Linked DNA regions of Rhinolophus ferrumequinum. The protein of the gene in region 1 interacts with the protein of each later gene in a pairwise test. Links are inferred from orthologs where the notes say so. Each region holds a gene or a part of one and is shown on either strand. Other genes may lie near its edges.

Region 1 (7,659 bases):
CGGAACAAGCAAGGTTCCAGTGTTTAGCGTACAGCAAAGCAATAGGGTGGCTGCTGCAGCGGAGCAACCCAAGGAGAGAAATGCAGGGGATAACCTGAGGTAGGGAGATCCCAGATGCAAGAAGGACTTGTAGCTAGGGAGGGGAAAAAAGTCAAGATTTTATTCGAAGTGTGATGGAGAACCTTTGTAGAGTTCTAAGCAAAGGAAAGACATGCCCTATTTTTTAAAAAAGTAACACCAGCTGCAGCTTAAAAGGAAACTAATACAGTAGCTCAGGCAACAAAGGAGGGAACAAAACAATGATTTAAGAGAGATGGTGAAATGTATCTGCTTTAGGATACATTTTGAAAGTAGAGTCTAGAAAATTTGCTACTGGATTGAAATGGGAATCCAACTGGATGAAGAGTAGTTCAAAAAATCATCTTTTATTTGTATAATTGTTACAGGTCTCAAGGTATTTTTACACATAGATTATTTCATTTCATAATAACAAGAGGCTGGGGAATGTCACAGTGAGCCAAGGTCCAAGTTCTTCCTCTTGCCAGTTTTAAGACCCTAGGAAAGTCATTTCAATGGGTTTCTAGACTATAAAACATATTGTCTACTTCTCAGGATTCCTGCAGGTATCAAATGGTTGAAGAATTTTGCAAATGTGAATAATGACTATTCTGAGATAGCACCTTATTAATAAATATCCAGTGAAAGACAGTACATTCCTGTCATTCAGGACAGTAGAGCAACCACCACCACGATATTCCACACAGAACTTCGTGCTGAGATTGTCAGAGAAGAGGCAAACTTTTAGTTCCAATTATGATATTAAAAAAATAGATATTTTCACTGATTATGGAAAAAACCTACATAATACAAGCATGGGCACTAGAAAAAACACTTTTATCTTTTAATTCTTCCTAGGAATTGGAGAAAACAATTCTTTTAAGCTATAATAGTATTAACCACCTACCTGTTTACAAGGTAAAATCCAAAATCACAGCAACTTTCATTAGAAAGACGCTATCAACAGGATACTGTAAAATTAAAACTGAGTTATCACTTTCTTGGTTTAAATAGTAAAATGTAAATACCTAGTGTAAATTACTGTGTGCGAATTAACTGAATTATGAGGACTTCAACTAACTGCCTTAAATCATTTTTGTAAGTTTATGAACAAGGTTCCACGGAACTAATTTTCATCCAAGGCTTTCATGTTACTGCAGAATATCTGCAGAATCAAGCAAAAATGGAAAAATATTTGTTAAGTCTTTAGTTCAGTATGTATTTTGGAGATTATCTTGAATGTCAATTTGTATTATGTACTTAGTCTATAACCTAAATAACAGTAAATAATAATTCAAGGATATTTATTGTACAGCTCTTCCACCCCTCATTTTCAACGAGAGCCTCAATAAACCTGACCATTGGAGCCATGTGACTGCATTATAACTAAAACCACACTGTAAGGACCTTCCAATGCATACAGCAATTAAACTGCCTTGGACAGAGTCCGAGACAAATCCATAAAACAGTACAACAAATTTTGCACTATGAAGGTTCACATTATTACACTCCAGCACACAATGACAATTCGTCCTACTCTGACTTCTAAGAATTTCTACCTTATAAAACGTCCTATTGTTCTCTAAATCAAGCATCTTTAGATCAGAGACACCCCCCATCTCATATATTTAATTGCGATTGCACAAAGCACTACATTTCATCATCTTTCAACAGGTCTTTCACTTAGCACGCATCTCGCCCAAACTTTTAAAACAAACTACATTAAATACATGTTCACCAGGTTATATCAAGCAAAATGATGCTGCAAGTTAGTCACCTGAACTCGCATATTGAGCAACAGAGATGCATCTCACTTCCTTCATTTAAACTGACCAAAAATGTCAAGGTTTTGTTTTGTAAATTGCAAGACACATTTCACATCTGAGGACTTGATATTATATAAAGACTTTACAAAACAAAGATGCCAAATTTTTCATGATTCCATACATGCTTGTCAAAGTATAGCATTAATAGAGTCAAAGAACGGTCTAATAATTAAAGGGCACAAAATCGAAAAGCAAAAGATTTCACAAGGACCCCTATACTTGCGCCCCCCACCCCAAGTCTTGTGTTAAACTATTTCCTCTGAACAGAAACAGCTCTTCAGTTTGCAAACCAGAGTAAAATCACTTCGCAGAGATAACGAGTGGAAACATATTTAAAGGAGAGGAAATCGCCGAAGCTGGAACAATCGGGTGCGGAGCCCCCAGGTCCCCGGACCCCGACTGCCAGGAGCGAGCATGTGCCGCCGGCGGCAGCACGCGCGGCCCTCCCGGGGCACAGGGCCTGGCCCGGCCTCACCCTCCCGGTTCATTCATTCTGAACCTGGGGCTGCCGCACCCCTGCGCTTCCTCACGGGCCGAGTGGGGGATCCGACACCAAGAGGCCGTGTCTGGCCACAACCTCCGCCTAAAGTCCGGGCCCCGCCGCGATTCCCGCGCGCCCGCGGCCTCTGTTCGGGGGTGGTCCGAGAGACCGCGGAGGCCCGCACCCCAGACCAGAACCCCGCAACCCCACCCTCCACCAGGGCGCAGGCCAGGTTGAACCCATTCGTAGGGGGCCGCCTGGAAGCCCCGGGTCCCCGCCGCAGGGCTGTCTCACCGCGGCCGGAAGTCTCCCCGGCGCCCCCTCCCCAGCGCCCGACTTCCCTCGCCGCCGCGGTCAGACCCTCTCCGTGCAGCCTCGGGCCTCCCAACGCGGGCCGCGGGCCGGAGGAAGCGAGCGGCCACGCCGCCCGATCCGCCAAGAAGGAAAGACCAGAGCAGGGAGCAGAGGCGGGCGTGGGAGGTTACCTTGATGATCCTACGGGGCAGCCCGGCCATCTTGTCAGATCCCGAGTTCGGCCTCTGGTCTCGACTCCGGCTCCGCTTGCCTCACGCACGAGTGGAAGTCCCGGGCTCCACTTCCGGGGGACGTTGCCGCGCCCGCCGCCGCCGCCGCCGCCACCAGCGTGGCCCCTTGGGAAATGTAGTCCCTGCTCGGCCGCGGGCCGGCTTCCCTCGGACCTGGCCCCCCCACACACACCCCGCCCCAGCCCCGGCCTGGAGGTGGCGGAAGTGACGCGCAGCGGCGGGGCAGGGACTTGGGGGAGGTGGCGTGGGGCGGCGCCGATCTCCGGCGCTGGTGAGTGATCCTGCCGCGCGACGGTGGGACTGGGCTGCCCACACCCGGCGGGCCTGATGTCCACGGCCACGCCCGCGCCGGTGGAGACGTAACAGAGGCCCGGCTGCCGATGTAGCTCATTCATTCATTCGTTCATTTCTTCATTCTACGTTCCTGCCTTGTGCGCTGGCGCAGCGGTGGACGACTGCGATCTAGTTGATCCGCTTGCTCCTGCTCAAAGGGAGGGGAAGACCAAACCTCGGTGGCAAAGCTCCCAACTGTGATAACTTGGGTCTCGCAAGTTATCCAGGGAAACTCTAGCCAGAGAGTTTTGATGTTTAAATGTCGCCTAAATCGGGCCTATTTGACACACTCCTTACACTCGGAGAAGGCTAAAAGAAGAGTTTGCAGATAGCTGAGGGAGAAACCAGGGAAGAATGGTTTCTGAACGCCTGGACCTGGTGGTTGTGACGCAGAGTAACTAGCTAGCTCGAGGAAAGTCCAAAGAGAGGATTAGAGAGCCCAGCGTAATCCCTGACAAGGATTACCCACAAAGTGCAGGGATCCTAAATGAAGATTAGAGTGGCGGTGCCTGAAAATGAGATTGTTGGGGAAGCGTTTTGCGACAGCCTGATGACTGCTTTGCTATGCGATGGTTTTTTGCAGATACTATTTTACTTCATCTTCACGGCAATCTTGAGAGGGAGACCCAGAGACGTTAACTAACTTTTTACAAGGTTATGCAGGAGAAAGTGGAGCTGTTAACTCCCAGGCAGGCCTGCCAAAACATGGACCCCTTAACTGCTTAACTACGGTGTTTCCTTAGCACCCGAATACAGACATAGTGAATGAATGAAGATGTGCCAGGTGCTATGTTAGGGGATGAGAATACAATGAAACTGACCCTGCCTTGCAGGAATTTAAGAGTCCGGTGGAGAAGAAAGACATGTAAACAATTAATTACAATCCAGTGTGTTAAGGGCTATACCAGAGATTCTTCCAAGGTGCTGTTTGAGCGCAGAGAGGCATTAATTGTTTGAGAAATCAGAGAAGGCTTCACAGAGGAGAAGGGGAATCCTAAAGAATGAGGTCAGAATCTAACTGACGTGGTCGGGTAGAGCATGCCAGGCATGGGAAATAGCTTGTGAAATGGCATTGAGCTATAAGGAAAAAACAGTGCATTAAATAAAGAACATGGATGCAAGAAACTTGTAAGAATAATAAGAGAAAACATTATGTGCGGGGCACAACGCTAAATGGTGACATGGATTATCTCAATCATAAAGCGTGTAAGGTAGGCTTTCCTATTACTAGCGCTCTTTAGATGAGAAATGAAGCTTCAGAGGGAATAATGAGAACTTAAAATAACCAGAAGTCTGAAGCGAGCGGTTCTGTGATTAAAAGAATCTGAGAAAATAAATAACGCTGGACAAGGAAACTTTCAGAATATTCTAGAGAGGGCCCAGGAGAATTCACCCTGGTAGGAAGACTGGCAGAGTGAATATTGGGTTAGAAGTGTGCTCTTGCAGTTATCTATTTTTGCCTAACAAACCAACTCAAACTTAGTGCTAAAAATGACAACCATCATTTATTTAGCTCTTGAATATGCAATTTGGCCAGGGAAGGCTCATCTCTGCTCCATGCTACATCAGTGTGGGCAGTCTTACTGCGGCCAGATCCACTTCCAAGGAGGCTCATAGCTGCCAAGTTGGTGCTGGCTGTTAGTTCCTCTCCAAGTGGGTCTCTCCTTGGGGCAGATGGGGCTTCCTCACTGCGTGGTGGCTGAGTTCCGAGAGTGAGTGTTCTAGCTAGCAACAGCAGAAGCAGAAGCTAAATCATCTTTTTTGGCCTAGCCTTGGAAGTCTCATAGCATCACTCCCACCATAATCTGTTGGTCAACTAAGTCACAAAAGTCCACCCAGTTTCAAAGGTACAGGACATGGACTCCACCTCTTGGGGAGTGGCAAGAGTCTAGAAACTGTCAGTGTGTGTGCGTGTGTGATGGGAGATATGGTTGTGGCCAACTTTGGAAAACAAACTGTTGTTACAGGTACGACATTTGTCAGTGTATGCTTACAAACCACCTGCTTGAGAGTCACCTGCCTATGATTCTGAGTGCTGGTTGAAATAAGCATTGCCAGCTCCCTCCCTCCAGAAATTCTAATTCTCTAGGTCAATGCTGAGGCTTGGGTATCTGCATTTAAACATTGTGAGTAATTTTGGTGGGTCCTAAAATTTGAGAACAAAAGATTTTGAATAAAGAAGAACAAAATGTATAAACAAAAAATGTTGCCATCTGCCTTCTTCTTGCTATTCTCTATCAGAATGGATAGTGAGTATCATACAGATTAAGAGTGTGGGGTGGCCAGTTGGCTCAGTTGGTTAGAGCCCCAGTGCTCATAACACCAATGTCGCTGGTTCGATTCCCACATGGGCCAGTGAGCTGCACCCTCCACAACTAGATTGAAAACAACTTGACTTGGAGCTGATGGGTCCTGGAAAAACACACTGTTCTCCAATATTCCCCAATAAAAAATAAAAAAAAAAAAAAAAGACTGTGGGGTTTGGAGCCCCAGGCCAGATCTGAAATTTGCCCATCCTTTGTTTTCTTCACCTATAAAATATACTTACTTTATTGTGATTGTTGTGAAGTTTCAATTATACATGTAGCTTAGAAGATGACGTAGCACTTAGCAAAGGCTATTATTTTTGTAATCTTGACAGAACCAGATATAGTTTTCCTTAGAAAACCAGATTTTTAAAACTTGACAGTATTCCCATTCATTTTTCCTCCTTAGGAGCAGCTCACACTATACTCATCAGGAAAACAAAATCTGAACTTCTGATTCATGAAAGTCTTGTAGAACAGGATATATTCTAGAAGGACAAGTTGCCACAGGGCTGAGATGACGTTTATTCGCAATTTAGAAAAGCTGGTTAAGAATCCTCATTACGATACCCATGAAATACAGACCAAATAAGGATATCCACAAAACTAATTGAATCGATTTCTTCAGGGGAGGGTTGCTGGGCGGGAGAACAGGTAAAAGGAAGATTTTTCACTCTATAGTCTTGTACCTTCTGGATTTTGAACCTATTCAAAATGTAAAATAAGAATCCAACTTACTAATGTCAACATTCTAAGAGGTATTCAGAGTTCTTTCAACACATCAAGAATGATATTATACACTCAAAACTCAGCCAAAAGATGCTGGTTCATGGTGTTGAATAAATTATAGTGACCATATAGATTCACTAAGCTGAACAGTGTGAGGCAGAACTCAGCTAATCAGTCTTCTTCAGCTCTTCATCAGGCCTCGCTCTCAGCCATGTTTCTTTCAGTCTCTCCTCCTGGACTCATAGTACAAGGTGGCTTTTAATTATGATATAGGGAAAGAGAAAGCAAGAAAGCTGCATTGGAGGCATTACAGGAGTCCTGTTCTATGCGACTCTCTTATTGCTCAGAACATTATTTTACTGCCTCCTGTTACTTCTCCACCTCTTACCCCCTAATATTCCGGGTTTGCTACTTTGGCCCTATAATAACAGATGCAAAAGTGCTATTTACCCTGCAGATAATATCTTAGGACATTAATACTTGAGCTCCTCAGAGTCATGGATCTCTTCCATCTCAGTTGTCACTGTATCCCTGGAGCTTGAGTGCAGGGCCTGCTCCCAAAAAATAGCTGTCAAGGGAATGAATCAACGACTGCAGGCTGAAAATAAACGCCTGTTTGAGAATGGCTGACATTGACTCATGATCCTTACGTAAATGATTACAGAAAGCACAGGATCTTTATATTCATCCCTAAACTTTTCAACTTGAATTCCTGGAGGATAACAGAGCTGTTTTTCACAGACTGTCTCACGCTTGGCAGAGACAACACAGAGTTGATCAATTTGGAAAATGGTAGATCAGTCACCTTTAATAGAAGCCCTGTTCAATTCATGAGCAATAGCGATCAGGCAGAAGTATTTGTTTGCAAGTACTCTTGTTTCTTGCAGCATAGGAAAACTGTTTCGTGGGCGATCAAGACAAGTATCTGTGAGAAAAGGGTTCATGAACACTGACTCAGGGAGGAAATAGGTGGAGGAGGAAGAAAACATTGCACATTGATTTTTTAAAAAAGCAAGGAACGCCTGCTGCCTCATATTTGTGACTTCAATGTAAACATCTGAGTACTTACAGTCTGTTACAGATCGCCAGCCTGTACACAGGATCAGAGCTGGGTCATCCAGGGTCATACCGGTAGGAGCTCTGTCTCGAGGTGGAAGGCTTGGAGAAAGATGAGATCCGGAAGAGTCAGAGTAATCAGGCTTACCTTGGTTTAGTGCTTTATGCTTTGCAAAGCACTTTTGAATCTTAGCTTACCCACGGAGCCTATAAGTGCCACTGGAGGCATTCTGCAGAGGCCATCATTGATTCCAAAATGTTTTTACAAAAGTAGATGGAAGGGGTATTTCTTTCTCTGGGCCAGTTCCCAGTGGTAACAGGATTCC
Region 2 (6,930 bases), on another chromosome or scaffold:
AGGCAGAGAGGGTGAGCATCAGAGAGAAGGGAGGTGCCAGGAGAGCTCCTGAAAGGCTTACCTCACAGCAAACAAACATGCAATAAACAATTCTCTGAAAACAAAGACTCATCTCACCTTTTTCTGTAGAACTTTGCATGTTGCAAAAGCCCCAAATGGAATCTAAGATAAGATAAAGAAGAGTCAGTGCCTCTTTGCCAGTTTTAAATTTGTTTTCTGATTGGCACACGTGTGAGGGAGAGATGGGGCAGAAGGCGAACAATGCCAAATGCTGATGTGGAGAACAGCACTAAGCCCAGGAAAGGCTGGTGAGGAGTGTGGCTCGGGGCGTGGTCAGCCCTCCCTTCCAATCAGCTGGCAGGAGATCGCCCTGCCAGGCGCTAGCCCGCCCCCCTCATCCCCATCCCCGGCATCATTTCCATCAGGGGCTGAAGAAAGATCTCTGGTGCTTTGCAGAGGCTGGAGAAACCCAGACTCTCCCAGGACCCTAGGAATCTGTGGGTACATTTTTCAAGTAGACTCCTTGACTCGTTTGAGACTATGGCGAGGCCTAAGATCATCTCGATTCTTTTGGACAAAAACAAAATCTAAGGAAACACCTCAATTAGCGCGTCTGGACCTTTTAAAGCCCCAGTCCACATCTGTCTGTCCCAGGAACACATGATTCAAGAAGAAAGGACAGATCAAACTCGCAGTCAGGACACCACCCCAATTTACCTCTGAGAGCTCACATTTAGAGATGTCAAGAATGTCATCTGCCCCAGCTTCTTTTGCCTAAGGATAAAAAGAGTTATTTTAAAAAAGTGTTCAAATCATCCTTGCAGAGTGGACACACCAGGCAAAGAAACAGGATTACAACTCTGCAGAGGACCACAGACAGCATCTGGTTCAACGTGTCCATTTTGTAGGCTTTAAAGGGGCTTGAGGGCCAGCAGGGAAGAGCAAATGAACAAGGGATGACAGGTGTCAGTCTATGGTGGGAAGTACAGGGCACTCCCGTATTTGACAGGTAGCCTCCTCAGTCTGCTCTGAGTCAGACATTTCCTCTGGGGGTGGGGAAGGCTGATGGGAGGGAGCAAGGCTTGTCTGGGGAGCAGTGCAGAGCCCTGTTTTGTAAGACAGAGGCGGAGATGGAGATGGACTCCGAGGAAAGCCGTTTTCCCTCACCAGACACATCTGGTACTCCAGGCGTTTCCGAGCCTCCTCGCTAGGTTTCCTCTTCCTGAAGAAGAGTGGCATTCTTCCTTTTTCCTGGAGCAATCTTCACGACACTAGGGCATAGGAGAAAAGTTGGGGTCTGGGGAATTTTTCTCCCTGGGTGCTGGGGAACCCCCCGGCACCCAGGACAGGTAGCACGGTAACACAGCATGGAGCTGGTCGGCTGGACTGTATATCCCTTAAGGGCAGGGGCTGTGTCCATCTCGACCGTCACTCTGTGCCCTGAGCCAGGCAGAGCAGGTACTCAGTACTTTTTGTTCTGTGTTGACTAAACAATAAGCACCACAACGTGGTGGAAAGAGCACAGTGGCAAGCCAGGTGACCTGGGTTCCAGCCCACATTTGCCATCAGCCACTATGAGACCCTGGCATACCTTTGCTCTGTTCTGGTCTCCCATCTCTTCTCCACGTTAAACAAGGGGGTTGACCTAGAGAGGTTTCCTCAGGTCCTGTCCAAAGATGCTCTTTGAGGAGTCTAACAGGCTGGCCTGATGAATCGCATCTAGCCTCTGAAACAGTGTCAGGGTGGTATCAACCAGCCATGACCTTGGGGAGCTCAACTATATCATAACCAAAGAGATTTTTTATAAGAAAAATTCAAAACCAATTCTCAGGCACCTTACCACTCTCACAGTTATTATTACGTCTAATTCTCACCACACCTCTGTTTATAGTGATGAAACTGACAATCATCGAGATCGGTGAGCTGGTTATACAGCCTGGATGTAGCAAAACCAGTCTGGAATTCTGCTCTTTTGAGTCCTGATCCTGTGGATTTGCCCAACTCTTTGGTGCTCAAATAACTTAGCACACACTAAGTGCACTGTCCCAAACTCGGAAGGCAGGTGCTCACTGCCTGCCCACTATCTGCACATATCAGCGCTTGATAACCGATATAGATGGGCCAGGAAGCAACCCTCCACGGAGGTTTATGGTGAACAGCACAGGCTTGGGGAGGAAATACAAGTGGGTTTGAATCCCAGATCTGCCACCCGCCAACCATGTCACCTTGCTTGGTTCACCTCTCTGAGCCTCCGTTTTCTCATCGGCAAAATAATGTTACCAGCACCTGATTCTGTGACAATCCAGTGATATCGTGTATGTAAAGCCTCTAGCACAGTACTTGGAACATAATGAGTGCTCAGGCAATGTTAGCCACACATCCAACACACAGTTATTCAGGGCCTACGACAGTTAAGGACTAGGGAGAAGAGGGCCAGGAAGGAGATCCAGTTGAAGAAGACACAGGCACAGTCCTCAGGGGCCGGGGTAGAGATCACAGGTCTCCGCCCACAGGGGCATGAGCTGTCTGGGGAGCTGCCAAGACTGCGGAGCTGGCACTTGTCACCCCACCGGCCTGCAAGGATGGGGAGTAGTCTAAAAGCAGCCGACCCCCGTCCTACCCCACGACCAGCTCTTAATCTTCTGCTCCCCAATGACTAAACCTCCCTCCCTCGCTCCCCGAAGTCCAGCTCCTTCCACCTTCTCCCCAGCAATCATACCTCCCTCAAGTCTCCCAGATCAGCTCTTCCCAGCCAGTGCCAGGTCCATCCCTCATTCACCCCATCCCTCATTCACCCCGTCCCCCAACATCCAGCAGAGATGGGGAGAACCACACCCTTCTTCCTCTGGCTGGAGTGGGGAGGGCCAGTCTGACCTGGCTTTGTGTCTGGCTAGTCCCTGACGACCGTTCCCTCTGGTGACCCTGAAGGCAGGCCGATCACTCGTAGGGCTCTGTCATGGGCGCCAGTCGCAGACCACCTGGCACGAGCTCCCTTGGATCCAGAGACTGGTCTCCTCCAAAGGCAGGAGCGGGGGACCGAAACTCAGAATCACGGAAAGTCATGCAGACCAGGATGACGAAGTCTGAGGCTCTGAGAACCGCACAATCTTAGAATTAAGAGTTAGAACGGATTTGGACCCGAACAAATTGCTTTGATGACTAAAATGCACACATCACGAGGGAGTTAAAAGGGGTCCGGGGTCGCTGTGGCCCTGGGGACTCGGAATGAGGGTGCGGACCTCTCAGGGGAGGGGCGGGGCTCTGTGATTAGGTGACAGGGACCACGGGTGACCCTCACGGTAAGGGAGAATGGGGAACAGAGAGGCCCCGGATCTTGGGAGCAGCCCTCTCTTGTCTGCCTCCCCTGGGCAAACTGCCCTGAACTCCCTTCCTCGCCCCTCGCCCCTCGCCCCAGCTCACCGCGGTGCCAGGTTCTCCACCCGTCAGCCTCTGGCGCCTGCCCACAAGCAACATGGCGACAAGGGCGTCGCTGGGAGGCGGGGTGGAGCCGGCGGTTCTCGCGACAGCCGCGCTTTCCAGCCTATATCCGGCGTAGTCGCGGGTCTTCCGGTCTTTCGCTCTTTCGGCTTTCGGCGCGGAGGAGGCCGCGGTGCAACTTTCTTCGGTCGTCCCGAATCCGGGTTCATCCGACACCAGTCGCCTCCATCATGCCGCCAAAGTTCGACCCCAACGAGGTCAAAGTCGGTGCGTGTTTTAGATGTGGCCGGGGCTGCGGGATGGAGCATCCCTTTCTCTCCGCCGCCCCTCGGCCCTGCGGCCCCCCAGCAGTTGCCTTTCCCACATCGGGCTTGAAAGCGGCTGCCTGCTAGAGGCCTTTCGGGTGCTGCCGTCAGGGCGCTGTGAAGTCCTGGCCGAGTCTCTCACTCCTCCTGGGCCTCAGCTTCCCCACCACGTGCTAATGGGGAGGGAGGACCGGACGCCCCACGCCTTAGGGTAAGGCTTGTCTCGGGCGCTCCCCCGTTAGACTGGGCTGGCTGGCGGCTGGGATGCAGCCACGCCGGCCGGTGTGGCCTCGGCAGCCTGAGCTGAAGCGAAGGCCTCGGCCGCGTGGCGTTCGGAGCTGTCCACGCCTAAGGAGGAGGTGGCTGCGGGGAGGGGGTGGCCAGCCCCGAAAAGACGCGGAGGGAGGGCGGTGGTTCGGCGGGTCCTCCTGCAGAGGCATTCATTTGTTTTTCTCCCAGTATACCTGAGGTGCACCGGTGGGGAAGTGGGTGCCACGTCTGCCCTGGCCCCCAAGATCGGCCCCCTGGGTCTGGTAAGTCATTCTCGTAGAGGCCTTTTCTTAACTTGTATGAGAACAGTTGTGTGGTGGCTTGTGCAAACACGGGCCGTCTGTCCCCGATTCGGCCTGAGGCACTGAATTGGCACTGGGTGCGGTAGAAAGGTTATATACGAAAATCAAAGCCGGTACCGGGAAGCAGTAGCTTATTTTCCAAGGTCTCTTGACCACTGCTGTTAGTGTACCGGGGAGATGGGCGGGAAGAGGTCAAGTGTGGGACTTGAAGTCGACTGGCTTAGTGACGTCCTGTTTCCTACCGTGTTGCCGCGAAAATAAGACCTTGCCGGACAATCAGCTCTAATGCGTCTTTTGGAGCGAAAATTAATGTAAGACCCGGTCTTATTTTTCTATAGTATAAGACTGGGTCTTGTATAATATAACATAATTAGTATAATCCTGGGTTTTATATAATATAATACCAGGTTTTATATTAATTTTTGCTCCAAAAGACGCATTAGAGGTGCTTGTCTGGCTAGGTCTTATTTTCAGGGAAATAGGGTCAGGGATTGGGCGTATCGCTGTTGGACGATTCTGGTGTACATTAGGATAGCTTGTATTTTCTTCTCTACAATAAACCTACTGGTTAATATGACTAGCTTTACCTGTGACCAGCTTCATTTATCTGCTTCTCCGTTTTACTAAATTTGCACTTCCCTAAGTATCATGAGGCCTTTATTCCTGCATAGTGGTGCGAGTGCTCTCAAACTTGGATTTGTTTAAGCAGTCTGAATATTCTTCCTTGGCCCTTAGCTCAGTTGGCATTCACTGGTAACACTTGTTTAGGCTAGTGGTCACTAAGAAATTCTGAAGTCGCATGTGCCCAGGTCACATCCCGGTAGCTAGACTTGGATTGGTCTGGCACCGGACACTGATACCTGTAAAGCTTCCCAGGTGATGGAAATGTAACCAGAGTTGAAAGTTCCTTCATTACCACATGGGTCCTTATGAGAGGGTAGGTAGGAAAGGGACTTGGTCCCATTATGGCCCTAGGTCTGCGTCTTACAGCTCTGAACAAACTTCACCTCTAGCCTCATTTGCCCAATTTATACATACTGGAGTGATAGTCTTGATTGGGTAGGTACAGTTGTGTGCTTCAGACAGTTTCCTGTGTGCTTGATGAGGATTTGTCAAGTAAGGAAGACCGGGCAGGTTTTCAGACTGCTTCAACTTTGGGCACAATATGATTACATACTTTTATTTCTACAGTCTCCAAAAAAGGTTGGCGATGACATCGCTAAAGCAACCGGTGATTGGAAGGGTCTGAGGATCACAGTGAAATTGACCATTCAGAACCGACAGGCCCAGGTACTTGGCTTGAGGGAGGGCAGAGGTCGTAGCAACCGCCTGGGACTCATGGGTGGAAGGTTCTTGCTGATGTGGCCACCTGCCACCAGTGGTTGAGAGCAGTTTCTCTGTCGGGAAGGCTTTTTCAAGAGCATGGGCCACGGTCAAAGACATGGGCTCAAATATTAACTCTTGTCACTCGTGGGACATTGAGCACATCACTTAATGTCTCCTAGGCTAGGACATGTTTCAGATGATGAAAATTATTTGAGAATGTGCAGCAAATCCAGTGTGGCCCATGGTCTCTAAGAACCAAGTTGCATGCCATGTTGTCTTCATTGGTGAGCGGGGCAGGGTTTATTCACATTGAGAATCTGTTTTGCAGATTGAGGTGGTACCTTCTGCCTCTGCCCTGATCATCAAAGCCCTCAAAGAACCACCAAGAGACAGAAAGAAGCAAAAAAACAGTGAGTGGCTTTTTCCCTGATGCAGGGTTTGTGAGTGGTGGTGTCTGCATAGTGCTTCATACAGAGCTGCATGTTTTCTTTTTAATGAAACCTTGGGATGGCACGGGGATTTGATGTCAGACTGTTACAGCCAGGCTCTACCACGAAGTGCTGTGCAGGAGGGAAATGGGCCGGGTGAAGCCACTGAGAATGATGACCACTAATTAGGAGACAGCACTTCTGAGCTGGATGTCACTAAACAGCTTAACCAGCCCCAATAACTTAAGTTTGTCTTCTCATCTCTAAAGTCTCTTCCACATAGGATTGGCAAAGACTTGGTTTTGCCCTGAGCCCAGCCACCCGCCACTGCACCCGACCAGTTCTGTTGGCTGGTGCATTCCAGTGGTGAGCTGATAGTAAACCCCAGCTTAGGAAACAGGGTTGTTCTTCATGTGGATGACTCTGTGCCGAAAGCGTGGGAACAGCCTGGAAATGGCTGAGGGAGGACATGTGGTCTGCTCTGGCTTTGGGTTGTGACATAGCCTTTGCTGTTTTTTCTTCTCTGCAGTTAAGCACAGTGGGAATATCACTTTTGATGAGATCGTCAACATTGCCCGACAGATGCGGCACCGATCTTTAGCTAGAGAACTCTCTGGTAAGAGGACAGTATGGAACCACCTTCATCATGATAAGGGGGTATATTCACTGAGTGGTAGCATTTTCCCACTTAAAGTGGATTTTATTCTGTAAGACCCTAAATTTGGGGTGCAGTGTCCCCTAGGTTTGAAAGAATGGCTTAATCATGTTGAAGATTTTGGGCTGGGTGTGTTTAATCTGGGTATCAAGGGTCCCATGCAAACATTGCATTCAGGGATTATGTAATTACTAGGCTGGTACAAA
Region 3 (6,919 bases), on another chromosome or scaffold:
CACAAAGAACAAACTATTGCTACACACTACAATATGGGTGAAACTAAAAACATGAGTGAAATAAACCTTTATGAGTACACACCGTATGCTGCCATTTACACTAAGTTCAAGAACAGACAAATAAAATCTATGGTGATAAAAATCAGAACAGTGGTTGAGACGGGGATGGAGGAGTTGATAGGTATTGACTGGAAAAAGGCATGAAGGAATTTTCTGGGGTAATGGAGAATGTTCTTCATCTTGATCTGGTTGATGGTCACCCAAGTATATGGATTTTTCAAAATTCATGAGCTGTACACTTAAGATGTGTGCACTTTAACTATGTAAATTATGTGTCATTAAAGTATTGTCAGGACAAAGAAATTAAAAGTAAGCCATCATTTATAAGGGCAAACTTCATTCCATTGAGAACAGTCTGTCTATATTAAAAGATATTTATTTGTAAATTATTTCATTAGCACTTGTTCAGGATGATCTAACTATTTTATTTGCAAGATATAAAGTTGTCAAGAGACTAGGAAATTTCCAGCATTTACAATGACTCTCTTACTTACTTTGGAATCAGACTGTACGTTTCCTTTGTTAGATTTCACTTTTACTTTCAATTCTAGATTCTGGGTAGAATCTTTATGTATTTCTTTAATGAAAAATGTTAAAAACTTATAGTGCAATAGTATTAGGCTGGAACTGAAGTTGTTACAGGATTATTATTATTATTATGTGAAATTCCTTCCAAAGAAAGAATTTTTTACCATAATTACCCTCAAGGAAAAAAACACTTTAAAGTTGATTATGTAATAACACAATATTGAGAACATACCACTGTTAAGAGTTATCAAAGTCCCAAACCAGGAATGAGGTGAAATGCCTTCTCAACACATACACATTGACAGTAGAAAAAAACCGGAGAACTAGAGATACTAATAGCCCTATGTGTCTACCTTGTCACTTTCCTCAAACATTTCCTTTCTTATTTCTGTCTCTAAAAGAGTATTTGGAGAGAAAATATATTTAGGTAAGTTGGATGCTGGAAGGAAAAGGGGAGTTTTTATATAACATATTTGGAATATTCATAAGATTAGAAGGAAAATGTAAAGTGTGTTACACTATTAAAAATCTGGGTACAGTTTTGGAATAGAGTAGGCCCAAGTGGATAGATTGACTCCATTTTTGTGAGTCAACAAAGATTTATTGAGCACCTACTATTTGCTGGTGCCCTGCTAGTACTAGAATAATGAGGTGAATAAAATATATACAGTCCTTGCGCCTAGGAACTTAGAATTGTTACAGGAAAACAATTCCTTTGTTGTTGTTTTTTTAAGAGTCTCATGCGCTACCGACTGAGCTAGCCGGGCGCCGCTATGTTGTTGTTTTTTTAAATCAACGATAAAAGTTGTGTAAAATGTTGCAAAAGAGACATAACAATCCACTCCAAGCCCAGACAAGTCTGATCCCAACAATCATCATTTGGAAGAACTTGGGAATCCTCGTCAGTGCAGGATTTCTTAGCCCACGGTTTTTAAATTGGTATAAGTGTTCTCTTTGGTAAACACCAAGTCTTTACAAAGATGTAAAAATGTGTAAGTGGGAACCCAAACAGTTTTAAGGGAATTAACAACCTGATGTTATATTTCCACATGTAGTTTTTCCTAAAACTGATCTGCCTGAAACCAAGAGCTGTTCCAGTTGCCAGGTCTCTTTTTTCTTCTCACCAACCTTTTCACAATGGTTCTCTCTTCTTAGGAAATACAGGCTCACCTGTTATCCATCTTGGGTTTTAAAATGATGTATTGCCCTTAGGCGTAAAATCTTCCTGGACAATTAGAAATATTCATTGTTTAGTGTTGAGAAAATGAATGGTTCTGATATCTGGCTATAGAGTTGCCAGATAAAATATAGGACACCCAGTTAAATTTGACTTTCAGATAATCAATGAATAATGTATTGCATGGGACATACTCATTTGTTATGTATCTCAAATTTAAATTTAACTAGGTGCCCTGTATTTTAATTTGCTAACTCTGGCAACCCTACCTAGGGAACAAACATTTTGTGGTTTCCAAATCACCGATTTAAACAAAATCGAGTTGTCTACTGATAACTAATTAACTTTTTGCATTAAACATCACTAAATGACTTTTGGGCTATAAAACAAATGTTCAAAAAATTGTGAAAAGTTGATATAATAACATTTCTTCTGGGCGTGGCCTATCTACTTATTTATTAATATGTAGATTTTTCAACACTTACAATCTTTAGAAATGAAAAAAAAGGAACAGAATCTATGCTGAACCCTATCATATTCTAGCAATAGGTAATATTCATGAACATACTTGAAAAATTGTTCAAATATATACTGCAACCCCATTAAGATTGCATTTGTAATAGAATTTAACTTTTTATCTTTAGTAATTATCAACATTTATAACATATTTATATTATTTTGACCAGTTGTGTATTAAGCACTGTGATGCAATCCGGAGTAATTTTTCTTTAACACTTAGAGGGTTATGATCACAGGAAAAAAAATTGAATTTCAATTTATACATACATTGTTTCAGAAATATGTGCCCAAGTGATCATAAAGATGTCCATTATGAACATATATTAAAATTCGGTGGGGGAAGTAGAATGTTCAAAAAGGACAAAAGGCAGTGACATACTATTTCCAGTTATTACAGATGAGCTAATGTGTTAATTGTTGAACAGATAACAGTGGCTATCAAATGGCTATGATATTTGAATACATTTAAAAGAGTCCTGGATCAGTTTTATTCTAAAATATCTGTGTCTACATTTTGTAGTTCCTTTCCAATTACTACAACTTTTATGTTTTAATGTCAAGTTAAAAATGCTCAGAGGAATAGTTTTTCAAAATTTTTTTGGTGGGTACATGATCAAAAGTGTATAAAGACCACAAAATGTTTTTGATCATCCAAAGGTGAGTTGAAAATGGCTTACACAGTTTTGAACTAAGCAGGTTCAAACGATGATTGAAGCCTCTCCATGATAGACGAACTTAATCTTTTTGATATAATTCCGACTGGGACTCTAACTGGAACTCATCCTGGTTATACTGAATGGAATGGGCACATCTTCTTGTTTCCACAGGATAATGATGAATTAATGAATAATATTATAGATTCTGCCTTTGGTTCCCAATTATCTTTGATCTACTGCAAGACAGGAAAATCAGGTGAGCTCTCTTCGTCCATCTGCTTCCTGGCAAGCACTGACGTTAGAGAAAGTTGCTTAAATGTACTGCTTAGACAAGGAATGTGGAGGAAATATGGCAGTGCAGTTAGACTCAAACTTCAAGTTTCCATGAGAATATCACAGTAACTTAGATGTCTCCTCTGTGAGACAAAAAGCAGAATTTTTTTTATAGCCAATTCTACCCTCGTTAGAAAAACAACCAACCAACCAACCAACAAAACCATTTCAATATAGGAAACTAACGAGGTGATCTCAATCTTTAACACAGTAAAACTGAACTGAAAAGGAGAGTCATGTGATTTTTTTTTACATGCTTCTGCATTTCCATTCATGCCTTAACTTTCTTGATTAGAACATAAAGTAAAAATTATCAGAAAGATTTCACAAAGTTTATTTTTTCTCTTCTTTTCAAAATATGTATATTAGGAAATGGGCCTTTTCCAGTCAGGCTGACCAATGATCAGCTACTCAACACAGGTTATCAATATTTCCTCTGACCCACGAACAAAGAAGTAAAGATCTTTCAGTAAATGCCACGGATACGCCACGGTTAAGAAATAGTCATGCTTTTACGGTCATGGAAATCCCCCAGTGGTTTTGCCAGACCACTGATTAAGAAGGGGAAGTGTATGTGGTTATTGCCGCTGGATTTCCCCTAAGTCCTAAGAGGAAAGCACCAACCACTAGGAGTGCAGGACACCGGGTGTGTCGGGTGTGTGTAGGTGGGGGTGGGGAGGGCGCAGTGGGACATTTAACAGCAGCGTGAGACTCTAACCCGCGCGGAACTGCCGGGGCGACAGGTGTCAGCCGAGAAGACTCGGCAGGCAGGTAGGTCTTGCTAGCGCACCTCGGCCTCCGGGCAGCAGGTGGGGTGACCAGGGCCGCTGCGAGGCTGTGTGATTGTCAATCCCCCCAAACCCACCCCCTCCGATAGGAGACGTTTCTGCTGCTCCGCCAGAGGAGCGCGGGGCCAGCAGCGGAGTCAGAGTGTCAGCGGGGAGACGCGGTCATCAAACCAGGGCTCAGAGGTCGGCTACAGGTCGGCTCTCCAGCAGATCAGGAACAAGGCAAAGAGTGTGTCCTCCGCGAGCCTGGGCGTCTTTCTTTTCCCCGGCGCACGGGGCGCTCTTTTGACAGGTGGCGTTGGGGAGCGCCACTGCCCCAGAGCCTTTGCTGTCAACCCAGGGGGAGGTGCTGGGCGCGGGGCCGCGGGGTTCAGGGGGGCGCGAGGGTGCTGGCCGGCCCCGCGCTGCCTTCGCGGGCACTCACTTTTGGTCCGCTTTCCTGCCGGGTGCTCAGTTTCTGTTTTACTTTTGGGGACAGCCAGTGGACTGGGGAAGCTTTGATATTTGGTTTAATTCGCTTGCCAAGCGCAATCACCTGGTCTTTGTGCCAAATAAGCTTCAGAACAGAGCCTAAAGCAGAATGTTGCCACAGTAAGGACTCAGTAAAACATTTATTTAATGAATAAATGGAGGAATGTTTCCAAATGGTGGCAGAAAGCAGATTTTTTTGGTTGTTTTCCTGGTGATTAGCATGGAAATCTGGTAGTGCTCTAAATTTAGTTAGTAAAGAGCCGGAGGCATTTACCTGACGCTAAAGTAACTAACCATAATGCTAACTTACTTTGCTATTATTTATTGCAAACATTAGGTGTTGCTAATTCCTATTATATGCTAGGACCCCTCCGAAGACTTCACAGGTATTTTTCAGATTTAATTCTTACAATCTGAAGAAGCAGTTACCATAATTACCAGTAGCTCCACTGACAATGAGGAAACTCTGGCTCAGGGAGGCCTACTTGCCCAAGATCACAGGCCTGGTAGGGGACACTGAATGGTATTGGAAACCCAAGTTGTCTGACTCCAAAGCATGGTATTAAGCCATCACTGTGCAGACTTTGTGGCCATTAATATAAAATTGATGTCCTTAATACCATGCACGTGGTCATGGGGGCTCAGTTAAGTTTGCTAACATTCACTTCTTCAACAGAAAGTCTTTGTTACTACGTTATATGCCAGGCTGGTTGGATATTGGGGTCGGGAGGGTACAGAGCTGAAACATAGTTCTGATCTGAAAAAGCAAACAGTCTGGGGGAAGGCAGAAAGAAAAGCAAATTTATGCTCCAGTGTGAGAGACGTGGATATGCCAAGTGTGAGAGACATGGATATGCCAAGTGCCCAAGAGCGTAGTTGGGCTCAGGGAGGTTGCCCCCTGGAAATGTTATAGTAAGAAGAGGTTGGGGACTTGAGCCAATCTGAGAAGGAACCACTAGAAAGGTAAGAGGACTTCCAAGACAGTGGTATCAGAGAAGCCAAGGGAGTAGAGCATTTCTAAGAGGAAGTGGGCCCCAGTGTCAGACACAAAAATTTCCATTGGTTTTGGCAAAGAAGCTATTGGTGCTATTAATATTGAGATTAGTTTTAAGTGGCTCAGGCTAAAGCCAATTGTCGTGGGTGGGAGACCTTAACCATAGACACTTGTTCAGTTCACTTGGCTGTGAAGAGACGATGAGATACAGGATGGTTGCTAGTGGAAAGTGTGGTTGAAAGAGGTTGTTTTGATCTGTTTACATTTGAAAGCTGGGACAGACTTAAGCATGCTTGTTATATTGAAGGAAAAGAGCCAGTAGAGAGTGAGAGTTGAATAAATGAGGGGGATGGGGGTGAGAGCAAGATTTCTGAAGCAGTAGGCGAGGATGGGACCTGTACAGGGGCAAGCGTTGTTCTCAGAGGTAGCAAATAGCTTGTGAGTGAAAAAGGCATGGATTTGAGGATGTGAAAGAATTACTGCTCAATGATGTTTCTTTTTTTGAGAAACAGACGGCAAAGCCATTTACCGAAAATGAGATGGGGAGTAGTGGAGGAGAAATTTGAGGAAGGTATTGAATGTTTAGAAGAGCTGCATAGGGCAGTGGGCTGAGGAGCTGCATAGGGCTGAGTAGAATAGTTAGGGATGGTGAAGGGCCAGCCCAGGTGGCCTCTGAAGTCATGCTGGTCCCAGTCTGCAAGACTGCAGATCTTCCCCAACAACATTTTGAAGTCTAGGTGTTGGAAATGGTTAAGACAGAGTTTGAATGATCCAGGGTTGACATCTTGGCATATTTTTGTATATTTATTATATAACTGTTGTCTAAATTTCTACAAACATGTGCCTTGTTTTTACAGCAAATCTTCTTTAGGGTAAAATCTGTGTAAGGGGTTAGCAATCTCAAAGGCATAGGGGCCAGGCATGTGATATAAATTAAAAAAATAGGGGTAAGTTGTAATCAAAAACATACTTTGTTCACATATGTAACATGTAGGAATATTCTTCCTTTCCACAAAGAAATATGGTACTCTCATTTTTCTCTACACATGTGTCCCTCTTTGTCTACCTTCCATTTTTGTTACTTTTGATAGACACAGGTATTAGGACAATTTCACTTTCCTCATAATTCTACTGCAAAAAAGGCAATAGTGCTAGCTCAGTGACAAGTAGCAACTGATAGTCTTTGTATCAGGGAGTGAAAGTACGGTGCCAAACTGGGGAGCATGTGCCCTCTGTAAAGGGTACAGTTGCTGCTGGGAGCTGGCTGATTATTGCCATACAGGAATACAGGCCCCGTGTGGCCAGATCTGGTTTTTCAAGAGAAGCTTGGAATCTAGAATGTTATGGGAAATCTCTTACTTTTTAAAAATGTTGGTAATTAATTAAAACATTT
Region 4 (6,987 bases), on another chromosome or scaffold:
AACCACTGTAGAATGGGATGTGTTCCATGCAAACAAGGAAGTGAAAGAACAAAGTGCAACCATGGGATCAAGAAAACAGAATCCAACATAGAAGAGCAGTGAAGGGATGACAGCTGTGTAGTTGGTTTGAAGAATAACCAGTGTAGCCTGGAGCAGGAGGCCAGGACAGAGGTTTATTTCCAATAAAATATAGAATTGATAGATTAGTCATCAGAATAGTTTTATAGTTCAGACAGGGCCCTAGAAAATAGAACAAACCAAAATTTGAGTTAATTATTAACTCCAGGGAAAATGAACAATTGCATAAAAAAGGAAATATAAATGATGTGCCTCAGCCATGAACAAGATTTGTATGGTCATATTAATACAAAAATGAATATATCATATAATCATATTGGGGATAAGTGAACGGAAATGGTGTGTGAATGGGTGATATAAAAGAGATCATTCTTCATATTCCATGGTAAGAAATCAATACATAATGTATAAAAATGGAAAAATCAAGAAAAGCAGTATAAACCTATTATTGGAAATACATGGGTAAACATGAGACAAATGCTTAAAGAATAGTCTTTGAGGAATAGGAATCAGATTGGGTAGGGATAAGAAGAGGATCTATTTTATAATAAGTAGGGTTTGTCTGGCACAAAGTTTATCCTTGTTAGTCCGGCATATTTTTATTACCATTGTTCTTGCCACAATATCAAATGATAAGGCATTTAAGCCATCCCACAAACTAACAGAATCTGAGATGGAAAATCAAGAAACCAGATTAATAGTTTAGCTATTAGAAAAACAGATTATGTAAAACAATAAATAATTCATCCTTTTGTCAGCCTTGTCTTTGAACAAAAGTTGTAATGGTCTGCCCAATTAGGCATAGCGGAAACGGAAATCACCCTCATGGGAGGAAAGGCCATACCTTCCTTGGAATCCCAAAGGATGAATCTCTGCAGCTAAACCTCCAGACCAGGGAAGCAGTTCTAATGGTTGTCTTATTTTTCAAAACACATCTTAAAATTACAACAATAATGTATAATTAGTTCAGAAAAGTAATAAAGATAAAGCACAAAAGAAAAATTTAAATCATCTAAATTCCATCACCTAAAGATGAATATGATTAACATTTTAGTGTATGTATATCTTTTTTTCTTATACAAATACAAAAATGCCATCATTTACCATGCAAACTTCTCAGTAACCTGCTCTTCCCTGCAGACACTGCACTTTGGACATGGTTCCATATCCATGGCCATATGTCTACATCTTTCTTTTTAGAAGCTGCCTAATCGTTCATCATTTGGATTACTGTATTTGACCAATCTCTGTTGCCAGATACTTGGGTTGTTTTCATCTTCTTTATTTCTTTTTTCCTAACTTTACACCAACAAAACTCTGCACACACATCCCTACACACACGTGACCAGTTATTTCTTCAGGATAGCTTCCCTGAAGTGAGATTACTTTGCCAAAGAGCATGCATTTCAGGGGCCTTTCTAGCTCACGTTGTAAATTGCCCTCCGGAAAGGTTGTACATTCCCATCGATAGAAGATATAATTTTTTTTTTTAATCAGTCGGTGCTGTTACTTTTTCTAAGCATTAAACCTTGAGGGAATAAGGCTAGGTGGTGGGATGGGAGACAGTTGAAACAAACAAGAAATATCAAAGAATTACTTAATCGCTTCTTTAATATTTTTCCAATTTCAAACTCTGGCCTGACTGGTTCCATCTTCAGCTCACACCCCAACTCTCCCTGCACGACCCTCTTTTACCTTATTTGAGTTTGGGTCAGTCTTTCCTCACTAGTGAGTACATGCCTTTGAAGAGAAGGACTTCACCCTAAATTTCAAGGTTTGGACAGCAATATCACCCAGTAATAGGGTCACTGTGACATACCCAAGGATTCTGACATTTCAGAACCAAGCTTGTTAGAATGAACTATTTAATACAATCTCCCACATGGATCTGCCAGTTGTGGAAACAAAGCCACATTGAAGCTAGTTAAAACACAGAAGCAGAGGTCAAGAGCTAGGTTGTACATTCCTACACCTCCTCCTCTGATTCTTTCTCCCTGCTCCAGGGGCGTTCCCTTCTAAGTCCTCCTCCTCTAGCTGTGTACTGAAATGGTTTTAATTGCTTTAATTTAAAGGGGTACCATTTGGAGGCTACATTCTCACAGTTCATTCTTTGTTTTCCATTCCTCATTCACTCCAAGATTGAGGGTCATACCCCCATTCTTCCTAAAACGCCCACCCCTAGTTTAAGACATTTGACATAAAGTTTTGCATAACAGCGAACGTTTCTCTTGTAATTCTTAGGTCTTTTCCTTCCTGATCAAGGGGGTTGGTAAAAGCCAGCCTTGTTTAATTTATGTATGCAATCCCTTTCTTCCTAAGGACTGGCACAGAGATTTTCATAAAGAGTATTCACCACTGGTGTTAAATAAATATACAACTATGTACTGCGTGCTCACCCACACTACTCATTTTATCTAAGTTCTTGCTGGCGGAGCCCATACTCAGGGAGGGTAATGAAAGAAAACACAGATAAACTTTGCACTGGGACACATCAACATTCAACAACCTTTGTCCTGGGAACTCAGTGCTTCATTACTTGACTTTTAACACCCCTCAGACTGAAGGGGAGGAAAGACTCTAACCGGCTGGGACCAGTGGGCCTAGTTCTAACTGCCCTTTCAGTCAAACCTCTCCAACGCACAATGCACAAACTACATTCTCACCTAGAGACGGAAAAAAATCATTGTTTTCTGGGTTTCACCTTCTACCACCTCAAACCAACTGTGCCAAAAATTTCCCAATTCACGAGGACCTAACATAAACGTACTCTTCTATTTTTATCGATTTTAAGAGGATAATTAACTATCCTATTTTAACAAAAAAATACACAAAATGACACAGTCCAAAGTCCAACCCTTGGACAAAATCAATTACTAAATATCTGCAGGGCAAAAGGAAAGAGAGCGGAGAAGACATTGGAGGAGCACCTTTGGGAGCTGTTTGGAAGCCCAGCCAGTCAAGGCTGCGGCTTCGCACTTCTTTACCGCCTCCCTCCCCAGCCACTGCTCCCAGCTGGGCCACCCCCTTCCTCCTCCTGCCTGGCGGGCGCTCCTTCCCGGCCCCGCCTGAGGCCCCGCCCCGCCGCCGACGTCAGTTGTTATGTCTCTGCTCGGGCTGCGGTCGCTGCCGCTCTGCTACGGAGGCGACTGTCGCGGCCTCGCGAGGTGACGGGGACGGCGGCCGGGGTCCGCAGCGCCCATCCGAGCGGGGCGGGCACAGCGTGGCCTGGAGGCAACCAGATAGCCGCCCAGGGAGACGTCTTGAGCTGTTTTTTCCTTTTTTTCCTCCGGGACCTTCGCTCCGCGCGCCCCATTTCCCTTTGCAGAGATCGCGGACGCCCCCTCCCGGGCCGGGCCGCGGTGCCCGTCCCCCCTGAAAGGCGCCGCCCGCTGGCGGGAGAGAACCTGGAGCTGCCGCCGCCGCCGCCGTGCGGGCCCCGCTTCTCGCGGATCCTGGGCAGCCGGCGGGGCCTGGGCCCTGGGCGCCGGGCGCGGCGCTGCGGCGCCCGCTTCTTCTCGCGCTGGGCCCCGGGCCTTGCCGGGCCGAGCGGGGCGTCCTCTTGACCCGCCGCCGCGGATTCCCGATCGGCCCCTGCGCCCCCCGCCTGCAGCCGGGACCCCGCTTCCTTTGTGGATCGGATTTTTTTTTTCGTTTCCTCCTCCCCCTTGAGATTACGGTGCTGGAAGGCCGACCCCGCCACTTCGGTCAGTTGCCCCCTGCCTGGGAGCGTCCCTTCGTTGCATCCCCGCGGGCTCACCCGGTGTTTAATGGGGCTTTTTAAGTTTTTTCTGTTTATTTTTCTTGCCTCTTGACTGGAAGGCCCCGCGTGAAGCTCTGCGCCTCTGCCCCTCCTCGTCTGTTCCCTATCCTCACAGATACCCAAATCCACCTGCCTCCGGGCCCGGGATGTTCCAACAGTGACCGCGGCGAGGGCCGGCCCGCACGCGCAGATAGTGCCCTCGCCCAGGCCGGCGTGAATACACACTCCCCTCACCTCCTCTCTTTCGTATTCTGAGCTCTCTGAAAAGAGAGAAGACTTAGGGGAAGATGTGGCTGAAGCTTTTTTTCTTGCTCCTCTATTTTCTGGTCTTGTTCGTCCTGGCTAGGTTTTTTGAGGCCATTGTGTGGTATGAAACTGGCATTTTTGCCACCCAGCTAGTGGATCCGGTGGCGCTGAGCTTCAAGAAGCTGAAGACCATTTTGGAGTGCCGGGGGCTGGGATACTCGGGGCTGCCCGAGAAGAAGGATGTACGGGAGCTGGTGGAAAAGTCAGGCGAGTATCGGGCTCCCCCGAGGTCCCCTCCATCCGGGGTAGTGGCCACCTGTACTTCCTCGTACCCTGGTGGTCCCCCAGAATTAGGCCTTACCTGGAAGAGTTAAGCCTACCTCCTCCGAGAGCTGCCCCAGTTTTTCATTGTCCAGGTTTTCTACAAAAATGTGAATCACCGTTTTGAGAAGGGGTCTGGAATTAGGTGTAGGGGTATGTCTGTTTTTAAGGTTATTTTAAAATAACAGTTTAAAGTGCAGCTTCTTGGCATTGTTACTAAGTTGAGTGATTTTCTCAAAATATGGCAATGTCACAAACGAAAGCATTATTTGTCAGTTAAAATTCATAAGGATGTAAGAAAAAACCCAAAACGTTGTCACAGTAATAATAGCAAGTTACCCAGAGAGAAAAATGTCATTGGAATATTTAATTATCAAAGAGACATTTAAGCCTAAGATATAAGTTTAAAATAATGAATAAAATAATGAGTTTAAATATAGAGAAAGTGTACACTGTACAGTACTAACTTTTCATACTTCAAGTTTGATGAAAATGAGGTGAACATTTTTTTTTTGTGAATGCCTACCTTGTTTGTTTTATATTTCTTTCAGGATTTTAAAAAAATCCTTGTATGTAAATGTTTATTTTCTTTCCGTGTCACAGACACTGCTGCATCAATGAAATGGGTTGTGAAATAAAATTCGAAATAGTGCTAAGAGAATAACTTCTTAAAGAATGCATTTTCAATAACTGTGGTTTTGGGGTAGGATTGGGTGAAAAATATGGTTTGGTTTTTTTTCACCCCCTGCACAAATGTGTCTTGTTTAGATATACTTCCTGGGAGGGAATGTACTGTCCTTTGAGAAAGGCATTCTGGGTTGTAGGAAGCAGTAGAAACTGATGGTTATCTTTTTTATTGTTTCAGTATATCTGTCAGCTGTGTCTTTTACAAGAGAAATATTTTCCTTCTTTAGTATCCTATAGCCATATAGTATGACAGACCAAGAATATTAACTCCAGAGGATTTAGCACTCACATATTTGCAAGTTAAGGGTTATCAAATTCATGTATTATTACTGAGGTAGAGAAGGGAACCCTCTTTGTAAAGTGATACATTTTCTTTAAAGGAAACATAAAATTGTGGTATTATTCTTGACTCTTATTTGCTGACTGGTTTATGGTGACTTTTATTTTGGGGTGTGGGGCTGCAATGGAGTAAAATAGAAGATATCTAATAAACGCTCTAGGTTTAGCAATGAGAAGTATCTTAACTGCCAAAGCCAAAATATTTTCCATAGTAAAATAGTTTGGTAACACATTTTTTTCCTTTCGACTTTTATATAGTATTCCCTTCCTTTGGGCCTAAAAGTACTTGTCACTTTGAGTGTACAGGAATGTACATATCACTTAAAGAATATATATAGCCCATAAAAATATGACTCAGATCACACATTCTATAGCAGCGAAGTCTTGGTATAGCAATTTAACTTTATAATTTAAATATTCACTGTGAATGGCTTTGCTGCTATCATGATAAAAGCTTGTTTTCTCATTGTTAACATTTAAGGCAAAAGTAAAATAATTGGACATTTAGTGTTTTCCTTTACTTTTACAAGCTCTAAATTTACACTGTTAATGTTGTGTATGAATGTGGAGTTTGTTCTTATAGGTGATCTTTATATCTAACCTCAAAGTCATATAAAACTCTGTTGCTATTTTAAGCATGCAGCGGCGGCAAATTCTGTAAGCCTATTCTAATTATCTCTAAGTCAGAAGTATATAAATCATACTGTTTAAAAAGTATTTGAAGCCTGAACATGTATACACAAAAGTAGATAATATGGTGGTGGCTTTTGGACTGGTATAAACTTCACTTATTTTCTAATAAATTATGGTGACCCTCCCCTCCCAGAATGTAAACCCCATGAGGAGGAAACAGATTTTGTCTGTTTTGTTCATTTTTGCCTGACACATAATAGGTTCTTACTATATATTTACTGGATGTATGAATCTTAAATGGGTATATTCAGTTTCTACTCTTCTGTATCTGCAATGAAAGTACAAGACGATTTTTAACAGTGTAAAATGGAATTAATCATTGAAGTTGGGAATGAGGGAATTTTGAAATCTTACTAATTTGTTTTTCTTGTCTTCAGGTGACTTAATGGAAGGTGAACTCTATTCTGCACTCAAGGAAGAAGAAGCATCTGAATCTGTTTCTAGTACCAATTTCAGTGGTGAAATGCACTTCTATGAGCTTGTAGAAGACACAAAAGATGGCATCTGGCTGGTTCAGGTATCAGAAACTGATTGAAGTGAATTTTTTTTTAATCATAATAGTATTCGCCCGCTGTGTACTTATGTCATATTTCTTAGCCATAAGTCAGTTCTCATAGGAAGGCTCCAGTGTCCTCTTAAAGAGGTTTTGCAGACAGGGAAAATGAAAATTGAAGAGTGTGAGAGGGGATTGTTGGGGAAAGAGGGTTGACTGCTTTGTTTCGCGTCAACAGAAGCAAATCCATTTTAGTTGTTGGCTCTTCATTAAAGTAAGAAGCACATACATATATTCCTTTCTTTCAATTTTTGTTAACTCCAGTTTTTAATTCAGTGATCCAAATAATTTTTGTATCTGGAGGAAGAAC

The links.
Region 2: the proteins of UBE2N (region 1) and LRSAM1 interact in binary tests that used the Homo sapiens proteins (3 or more experiments, as listed by UniProt). The link is inferred for Rhinolophus ferrumequinum from reciprocal best matches to the Homo sapiens genes UBE2N and LRSAM1.
Region 3: the proteins of UBE2N (region 1) and BIRC3 interact in a two-hybrid assay, tested with the Homo sapiens proteins (2 studies listed by BioGRID and IntAct). The link is inferred for Rhinolophus ferrumequinum from reciprocal best matches to the Homo sapiens genes UBE2N and BIRC3.
Region 4: the proteins of UBE2N (region 1) and E3 ubiquitin-protein ligase RNF103 interact in a two-hybrid assay, tested with the Homo sapiens proteins (3 studies listed by BioGRID and IntAct). The link is inferred for Rhinolophus ferrumequinum from reciprocal best matches to the Homo sapiens genes UBE2N and RNF103.

The regions. Positions count from the first base shown.
Region 1 is NC_046293.1:84,615,746-84,623,404, forward strand, and holds the start of UBE2N (ubiquitin-conjugating enzyme E2 N), read right to left. Parts: upstream 2,884-7,659; 5' UTR 2,880-2,883; coding exon 2,850-2,879; intron 1-2,849. Other genes in the region: COPII coat assembly protein SEC16-like, read right to left, coding at 2,884-3,300. UniProt on the Homo sapiens protein: The UBE2V1-UBE2N and UBE2V2-UBE2N heterodimers catalyze the synthesis of non-canonical 'Lys-63'-linked polyubiquitin chains. This type of polyubiquitination does not lead to protein degradation by the proteasome.
Region 2 is NC_046295.1:76,587,662-76,594,591, reverse strand, and holds the start of LRSAM1 (E3 ubiquitin-protein ligase LRSAM1), read right to left. Parts: upstream 3,011-6,930; 5' UTR 2,875-3,010; intron 1,272-2,874; exon of another isoform or gene 1,262-1,271; 5' UTR 1,240-1,261; coding exon 1,168-1,239; intron 775-1,167; coding exon 718-774; intron 163-717; coding exon 118-162; intron 1-117. Other genes in the region: RPL12 (60S ribosomal protein L12), read left to right, coding at 3,669-3,705, 4,203-4,276, 5,507-5,605, 5,970-6,051, 6,599-6,685.
Region 3 is NC_046294.1:71,855,917-71,862,835, forward strand, and holds the start of BIRC3 (baculoviral IAP repeat-containing protein 3), read left to right. Parts: upstream 1-3,911; 5' UTR 3,912-4,044; intron 4,045-6,919. UniProt on the Homo sapiens protein: Multi-functional protein which regulates not only caspases and apoptosis, but also modulates inflammatory signaling and immunity, mitogenic kinase signaling and cell proliferation, as well as cell invasion and metastasis.
Region 4 is NC_046296.1:7,873,643-7,880,629, forward strand, and holds the start of E3 ubiquitin-protein ligase RNF103, read left to right. Parts: upstream 1-3,987; 5' UTR 3,988-4,125; coding exon 4,126-4,351; intron 4,352-6,501; coding exon 6,502-6,641; intron 6,642-6,987. UniProt on the Homo sapiens protein: Acts as an E2-dependent E3 ubiquitin-protein ligase, probably involved in the ER-associated protein degradation pathway.